Caenorhabditis elegans: one gene and its partner. The protein of the gene in region 1 purifies or fractionates together with the protein of each later gene. This does not show direct contact. Each region holds a gene or a part of one and is shown in the gene's direction. Other genes may lie near its edges.

Evidence for each region.
Region 2: the proteins of eri-5 (region 1) and rrf-3 purify together in Caenorhabditis elegans (affinity purification with mass spectrometry; 2 studies listed by BioGRID). This does not show direct contact.

What each region holds. Positions count from the first base shown.
Region 1 is NC_003282.8:2,388,741-2,393,739, forward strand, and holds the start of eri-5 (Tudor domain-containing protein), read left to right. Parts: upstream 1-2,080; coding exon 2,081-2,509; intron 2,510-3,281; coding exon 3,282-3,519; intron 3,520-4,324; coding exon 4,325-4,618; intron 4,619-4,809; coding exon 4,810-4,921; intron 4,922-4,999. Other genes in the region: trap-3 (Translocon-associated protein subunit gamma), read left to right, coding at 719-865, 922-1,019, 1,093-1,384.
Region 2 is NC_003280.10:8,159,999-8,164,064, forward strand, and holds the start of rrf-3 (RNA-directed RNA polymerase), read left to right. Parts: upstream 1-2,466; 5' UTR 2,467-2,559; coding exon 2,560-2,627; intron 2,628-2,682; coding exon 2,683-3,292; intron 3,293-3,338; coding exon 3,339-3,574; intron 3,575-3,621; coding exon 3,622-3,735; intron 3,736-3,785; coding exon 3,786-4,066. Other genes in the region: emb-27 (Cell division cycle protein 16 homolog), read right to left, coding at 1-140, 185-479, 530-896, 940-1,339, 1,386-1,890, 1,935-2,039, 2,086-2,171.

The sequences.
Region 1 (4,999 bases):
AATTTTGTGGAAAATTAATTTTCTGTCATTTTCTGAGGATTTTTAGTGAATTTATGGAATAAAAGAGCTTTTTTAGAACTTTAAATGCACAAAATCGATGAAAAACACAAGAAATTAGATATTTTGACTTTCTTCACTTGCTGCACGATTTTTAGGCGATTTATTGGCGAATTTAATGATTTTTGGGCCTAAAATATCTTCAAAAATGTCTGAAATTTATGAAAAATGCGAAAAACCGGGCGAAATATAAATGAAATCAGACAGGCAGCCGTCCGACAGACACACCGCGGCGGCGAACAAACGAAAAACCTCCGACGGGGTGAGTACGGTGTGTGGCTTGGCATGATGCCAAGCGGGTTGCAGTTCGATTTCGTGTGTACCCCTTATGTGTGGCGGCGTATGATGAAGGGGGCACATACGCCCGGCGTGCAGGTCGGTACGCAAACACCGTGACGCACAGATGCACACGAAGAGAGACTCGACGGAGACACGTTGTAGTTTTTGGAGAGTGGCGGGGTTTTCGTCTCAATTTATATTTATTTTTGACGATTTTTTCGGCGGAAATGTTAATAAATATTAATTTTGTTTGAATTTTCATTGATAATTAGGCATTTTCTTCCTAAAATAGTGGAAAAATACCCCCGAAAATACCGTTTTACTTCCCACTAAACATTTAAATGCATTTTAAAGCATTTTCCTTTCAGAAAATCGAAAAACCATGGGCAAGCTCACCAAGGAAGAGGAACTTCTGCTCTCGAGCTACTCGGCGACCAGCTCCACCAAGGGAAACCTCTTCTTCTACCTCAACGCGTTGATCATCTCCATCGCCCCGCTCTACCTCTTCTACGGAGTTCACCAGATGGAGGTTAGCCGGAAATTCTATCGGCTAGGAAAACCTTGTGAAACGCATTAAATTTTCAGATCCAAGACTCGCTTGTCGTGTGGGGACTCTCTGCCGTCGGCACTGCCTACCTCCTGTCCCTGGCCTGCAAAAACCAGAAGTGCCTTCTCAAGCATCAGTGAGGGTTTTTTTGAATTTTTAAAAATCGGAAATCGATTTTTCACCCCAATAAAAACCCCCAAAATTTTCAGAATCGTGATGAAGCGCGGATCAGCTGTGGAACGCGAGATCAGCGGACAATATGCTGCTGACAAGAAAATGACTGTTAAGGAGAAGGAGGAGCGCGCGCTTTTCCGCAAAAACGAGGTCGCCGACACCGAATCCACCTACTTGTCGGTCTTCTACACAAACTCGCTCTACTTGACCATCATGCTCGTCTCGGCGTTCTTCTTGCTCGCCAACGTGGCTCCAGTCTTCAACTTGCTCATCTCCACCATCGGATCCGCCGGACTCGTCGCCTTCCTCTCCACCGCTAAGAACTAAGCGATCTTTACAAACGGGACCCCCCTTTTTTTTCTCAAAAAGTTTCATGTATTTATCATAAAAAACGAAAGTTTAATTTATTTTTCCCCACCACCCACCCGCAGATTTTTTGTATAATAAATCCCAAAAACTAAAAATGTTTATTTTTTTCTTTTTTCCCAAGAATTTCAGGTTTATAATCCAGTCCAAGCTGCTTTTTTAATATGATTCTGCTCGTCCAAGAGAACTACACAGCTGTTGGGGCAACTGCGCTCCACTGAACAATTATTTTAGCGCGATTTTCTGATTTTTAACATTAAGAACAGCATTTTTCGATAAAACGCCATATTTCATACCATTTTCAGCGATTATAATTAATATTAAACGATTAAAATCGATTTTCGCCAGCGAAAAACACCAAAAATTAAATTTTCACCTCAAGACCAGGTGCTGCAAATGCGCTCTAGTGATAATTAGTTGAAAAACACGGGATTCTGTTAAAATATATGATTGTCTAGTTACAAAATTTGTGAAAAATGAAAAAAAAATTAATTTACAAAGTTTTTCTCATTAGAGCGCGTTTGAGGCATGCGGTCGGCGAGAAACTTGAATTTTAATTGATTTTTAGTGATTTTTAAGTAACAAAGTGTTTAAAAAAAGAAGAAAAATTCAAATTTCCCATGCAAGAAATTTTCCATCAAAAAATCGGATTTTCAGATGCTCTCGGAGGAGCCCTACGAAACGTATCACCCGGAATTTCCAGATCCAGAGATTCGACGAATAGCTCTAAAAAGCTCGGCAGTCGTCGAGCTGCTCCGAATCGAATCACCATCTTCATTTTTCTGCCGTCCCGTCGATCATGTCACCGATGATCAATTATTGATTCGCGAACCGTACCGCCTAACAACTCGAATTATCGATTTTTCGGCGGGAAACATGGCGATGGCTCCGCTCCGGCCACGTGTATTCGCTCGATGTTTAATTTTGAAAAATTTGGAGCTTATCGAGGCCGCCCGGATTTTTTTCATCGATTCTGCGGTCACTGCTAATGTTTCGTGGAAATGTCTGTTTCAAATTGATGAAAATCTCAAATTTCACCCATGGCAGGCGATGCATTGCACTTTGGGACGTTTGGTGCACCTTTCGGTCTGATTTTTAGCACTTTTTAACCCAGAAATTCAAATTTCCCGCCGATCGCATGTTGTAAATGCGCTCTATAGAGCAAAAATGTGTGCATTTTTCCTGATGAAAATCCACGGATTTCTGGCTGGCTTACCTCATAAATTATTGAAATGGAAGAGTTATTGCCGAACTAGGCCATTTTGGCTCGGCCATATATGGGGTAGATTTACGGCGCGTTGCGTGTCGCGTCGCGGTTCGATTTTAGTTATAAAACTAATGCGTTTGTCCGTGTGGAGTACACGGCTTTCCCACGCGTTGTCCGGCAGGCGATTGTCAATGGAGCGCGAAAAATTCGAGGAAGAAGACCAGAACCCCGTGAGAAATTCAAATTTCCCGCCGTTGCAAATGCGCTCCATGGCAAAAATGTGCATTTTTCCTGATGAAAATCGTAAAAAATTGACTGGAAAACTATAAAATAGAGATTTCCATCTGAAAATTCAAATTTTCAAACGAAATATTGAAAGTGCGCTCCATTGAGAAAAACCGGACATTTGAATTTTTGAGAGGAAATTGGGGTTTTTGATGGTTTTTTAACCTAAAAATGCTATTTTTCAGCTAAAATTGACCTGAAAAATACGAAAAAATCCAACAATAAACGGAGATTTTTCATTGGAGCGCACTTGCAACACGCAATCTGAATTTGAATTGCCCGCCAAAAATGTTTTTAAACAATTTACAAAAAAAAAATCGATTTTTTGAAAATTATTGATTTTTCAAAAATTATCGATTTTTTCAGGACTCATGGACAGACACCCAGTGCACCGAATTTCGAAATATTGTCTCTAAATTTGCAAAATTTCAAATTACCGCCAACCAGTGTGACGTGGATTTTCGCTCGGACCGCCCGTCTCTTCTCGTGAACCTGTACGGATTGCCAAATGGAACAGAAATCGATAAAAAAGTGGCGATCGAGGAGATTTGCGCGGTTTCTATGCAAAATGTTATGGTCTCTCAATTTCCCACTAATTTTATGGGTATAATTTTTGAATTTTTGGAAAAAAAAAATTTCGCGAAAATTTCAAAAACCCGAAAAACCCGAACAAAGTTTATATAACATTCGAATTCAGCACGCCGAGAGCTTTGATTTAAGTATAATCATGACTATGGGTTACGAGTAATTGGGTCCCACCACGAAAATCCCCGGGGTTACTGTAGTTTTTCGTGGTGGGACCCGGAAAATTTTCAAAATCAATGGAATCTGGTCATGATTATACTTAAATGGAAGCATTCAAACAGCTGAATTTGAATTTCATAGTTTTGTTTTAAAAAAATGAAAAATTTCCGAAAAATTTGGGTCTCGCCACGAAACCCCGAAATTTTTGGTTTTTCCGCTATTTTTTTGGTTTAAAACATGGAATGTGTTTAAAATGTCATAAAAAACTAATTTTTCTCAAACATTATCTAAAAAAAAATCGAAATTTGGATTAGTTTTTCATAGAAAATGTCAAAAAAGGAATAAAAAATTCAAAAATTTTTGTAAAAATCAAATTCACTACATTTCTAGCTTCAATTTAAGTATAATAATGACCAATTTTGCTAGAATTTGAACAAAAAATCGGGTCCCACCGCGAAAACTACAGTACCCCTGAGGTTTTCGTGGCGGGACCCAACTTTTTTAAAGATTTAGCAAAAAAGGTCATGATTATATTCAAATTGAAGCTCTCAGTGAGACACAATCAGTCGAAATATGAATTTTCAGAAAAAAATTAATTTTGAAAAATTTTGGTTAAAAAAAAAAAAATAAAAACATTTTTTTTTTTTTTGAAAATTTTTTTCCAGTCAATCCCAAGCTCGAGGAGCTCGACAAAGAGCAAGACCACCTCGACGTGATTCTTCTCGAAGAGTTCCGCCGGGACCTCCCAGCCGACTGGGCTCACGAGCCGCCTGCCGATTACCGTGAAGACGACGCCGACTGGGATATACTGCAGTGCCACGTGGCAGAATGGAATGACACGGCACTCGAGCAATTCCGAAGAGCCGATGGAAGCTTTTGGGCGATGCTCGAGCCGAGTTGCACCGTATCACCCTGGGAAATGCACGTTACACCGATTTTGGCACCGGAAAAGATGTCTGGTACGGTGGAAATTGAACAATTTTGCTCGAAATTCTGCTTAAACTCGCGAAATAAAGCGAAAAATTGAGTAAAATGGCGAAAATTGACCCAGAAATTTGAAATTTCCCGCCGACCGCATGTTGTGCAAGCGCGCTCCAATGAGAAAAGGGATAGCGGAGCATCGTACTGAGCACAATTCGAATTTTTTCAGATAATGAACATTGGATTTTCGAGCAGCTCGTAAAAAACTCGGAAAATCAGCAAAAAATCGACGATTTCTACTCGAACCTCAAGAATCAGCGGCCGCTAGAGATGGAAGAAATGTTAGAAAATTTCGAATTTTCAGTGAAAAATGTGAAAAATATGCGGAAATCGATTAAAACCTGAAAAATTATGCTAAA
Region 2 (4,066 bases), on another chromosome or scaffold:
CTCAGCATCGACATAAATGGTTGGCTTGACGATACGATGGACGGAACAACGAATCCATCATTTCGTGGTTTTCTTATTGCACAGTACGGAAGAATTTCTTGTGCACCGAAGTATGTTTCAGAGTTGTATGCGGGCGGGAGCTGAAAACAAAAAACCTAGATAACATAAGATATAGTATATTTACCGTTTGTTGATCAACAGAATAACTTTCTTTTGACGCTTGAATCATTTTTGACAGACATTGACGGATTGTTTCATTAAATGGATCGATCGCAAGAGCTTTATTGAAGAATTCAGTTGCTTTATCAATGTTGCCGAGAACTGCGTAACAGAGAGCAGTTGATGCAATGGCATCTACAAACTTTGGCTCCATTCGGATAGCTTTTTGATAAAACATGATTGCTTCATTCAGCCTTCCTTGCCGTCTGGCTATGTGGCCAATGTTATTGAGCATTGGGTGCCAAAAGTCGTCGATTTTCCTGAAAAAATGTTATTTTTCTCTCAAATAATCATCGAATTAGATACTTACTTTTTCAAGACTTCTTCAATTGGAATGATTTCATCGGTCTCTGTAACCATATACAAAACAGTTCTGAATAAAATATCGGCTTCCGCGTAACTTTTTGCAGTATAGGCTACACAAGCTTCTTCGTGACGAATCAGAGGGTCATTCGGTGCCCGAGCAACTGCTTCTCCCATGAACTTCTTGCTCAGCTTCTGACTATGCGTACTGTACTGAAGAGAAGTGTACAAGAACGGTTCAGAACTTTTATCCACAAGTTTCGACGCTCTGTAATAGCAACTCATGGACTGTTCGTGTTCAACTTCATAGTGAAGAATATGACCAAAAGCCACCCATCCTTCAGCAAACGTCGAATCCATCATCGTGCATTTACCTAAAGAAGCTCTATTTAAACCTCAATGAAATGGGAAACATACTGATGAAATTTCGAGCTCTTGAGTTTGCTCCAATACTATAATAATACATAGCAACACAATACCATGGAAGTGGAATATGAGGATCATCACTAACTAGTTGATGACCTAATTCAAGCAGAGATCGAGAATCCTTTAACATTGTTAGGCAGTGAATACGAAGAATAATGCACTCAGGATGTGGTCCAAATAGATCAAATAGCTCGTCAGTGATTTTTTTTGTTTCTCGAAATCGACCCATCTCGTAGGCACGTTGAGCACGTTCCATAAGAATTCGTGGATCATGATTTCCTTCGTGTAACTTCAGCTGTTCATTTCTGACTTTTCTGTACTTCTCCCACATCGCAGGCTCAACCAGATTGTATTTTGCCATTAATCGTTCGACATGGAGAGTTGTATTATCCTGAAATAATAAAACACGGTCAAATCATGTATAAAAGATGACTTACAAGACTCAGCGCGTAATTAATACAAATCATTGCAGCATCACGATTCATCAATTTCAAAAAACTTTCTGCTATGGTTATCATAAGAGCTGGAACCATTCTGAGCTTTTTAGAGCTATTATCCAATTCGGCCATATTTGCAAATGAGTACTTCATTCTTTCTTCCTCGACATATCTCCCCGTCACTTGTGAAAGTGTTCGAACAGGAAGAGGTCCAATTTGGCCATTACTTGGAAGAAGATGACCGACCGATAATTCAGCTACATCTTCGTATAATTTCCGTTGGAAAAGTGCGGTAGCGGCATAATAAGCAAAAACAATGTGAATCTGATGATAGTTCCCACGAGCAATAATATGGCTAATACGCCGCCATTGACGGAGAACGACGAGAATTTTTACGTATTCAGCGATGGTGACAATATCTTGCTGTTCATCATCAATTATATTAGAGTATAATGTATCCGCGTAAGCTACAGCTTCATCGGTTCTGCCGATTTCAAGCATTTCCCTAAAAATATAACATATTAATATATATGCTGGTCTCAAACTGACATCACTTTCTCCATGCTCGCCTCGTCATAATACTCCGATCCATCAATTCTACTTGCAAGTGTTTTAATCGGCTTGAAACGAATAGACTCGTGTTTCGGCAAATCTCTGAAAAATTGTAGTTTGAAAAAGAAATGTTATTTATTAAACTCACAAAGATGATGCTGGCTTGCTTGAGGAACCTTCATCAGCCAATGTCGGAATCGCAAAACTTTTTGTATCAGGCGAGATCGCGCTCATGCTGTAAAGGCTTCGTATATTTGTTTAGTAAGTAGAGAACTTAAGTTAAGCAACAAGAATTGTAAAATAGAAATTCAATAATGACGTTAATTGCAATGGAACTGTTGTGAAAAAGTGTTGAGATTATAGTCTTATTTTTAGATTATAATTTTACAGCTTACACGGAGTAGTTACAGCTACTTTAACTAAATAACATAAAGGCGCGCCTAGGCGCTTAAAAACAAAATAAAAAGGATTTAATGCTTGATCAAATTTAAATTTTAGCCGTAACTGCGGAGTCTCGTTGCTAATTGTCAATGGAGCGAACATACATCATCAAATTTTTGAATAAAATTGTTTCTCATTTTTTTCGTAAAATAAATGCCATTTTCAAAAAGTCTTTCACAAAATGCTCCCGTTTGATAATGATGACTCTAGCGATGATGCTACAACTTCTGTTAGGCCGAAGCATCCAAGGTAATTGAAATTCGGTGAGCAAACGGTAGTCAAATGAAACAATGTTTTTTTCCAGAGGAGTTCCTCAGAGTCAATCAACATTTCCACGTGGTAGATCGAATTTTTCGTCTGGAACTTTACCAAATCGAAAAACAGAATGCACTCCAGTGAACACCTTAACAATTGGGCATTCAAACAAGATGCTATTGACAACGTTTCGGATGGATCGAAATTCAAAATCTAAATCGGAAGTTGACGTACAAGAACAGCCTGTTCACTCTTCATCGTCGGCTTTTCCAGGAAATCATTTAAACAATTTTTCGTATCCAGTGAATCGTGGATATCTTCGTGATTACCTGCTACAGTCACAAAGGCCTTCTACTTCAAAACCAGTCGACTGTTCTGTTCTAAAACGGCACTCTCTCCCATCAACTCACATTCTTTATGAGAAAACGAAGCACAGAGGTGGTGTAAATATCGAAGAACAAGAAAAACTCGTGCGGATGTTATGGGCCGCTGCAGAAGAATCGGAAACAGTTGCGAAGACGAGACAGTTTAGTAAAAAACAGGCGATTGAGCTGAATTTCGATGCTAAGCTCATTGGCAGCATGAATAATGATTGCTTTGGATATTGCCGAGCACACATGGAAAATATAAAAGATGTTTTGAAAACACACTTGAAATTGGTAAGCGATTTTTTAATTGGCCGTATTTGAAACAATTTAATTTCAGTCTAAAGTTGACGAGGTAAACTGGATCAAGGTGGGGATGGTGCCACGAGCTGCGTACGAAGATAAATCATACGTCATCGATGCTCATTTAGTTTTGACGCCAAACGGTGAAGTAGAAGATGAAAATGAATTGTTCTCCGAGTTCGCATCAAGTTTCACATCTAGAATAACTGGAATGCTCCATGATCAAGTATTTTTGGAAGTCCCGAAAATGCATACGCTTTTCACAAAAATAACGTAATAGAATACTCATCCGCTTTTTATATACTCAAGTTATAATTTAGACCCCAACACATGGATATAAATATTTCTGCGATTGCGATTGGAAACTGCCCTAATTCAGGACTTTTCCTTGTTAGAGGAGATTTCATCAGTCAAGAAAACACAGTTTGTAGTGTGTAAGTTGCACATATTCTACAGAATTTCTAATCAGATTTTTGTTTTTAAGAAAGCTTCAGTCACACCATAATGCAGATGCATCCCGTGAAAACAGTTCATTCAAAGTGGCAGGAAGCAATAAATACCTCTCGTATGCGAGATTTGAGCATGACAAAAGACTGGCAGTGGTATATTTCGGAGTTCGATTAGCCGAATTCGCTGATGATGGTTTGGATCATGCCGGATTTCGTCTTAATCTATATTATAATTTGTTTGTTCGAATTGTTGTCGACATGTCTCATGAAACTACGAACAGTATTTATATACAAATGAAAAATCCACCGCATCTCT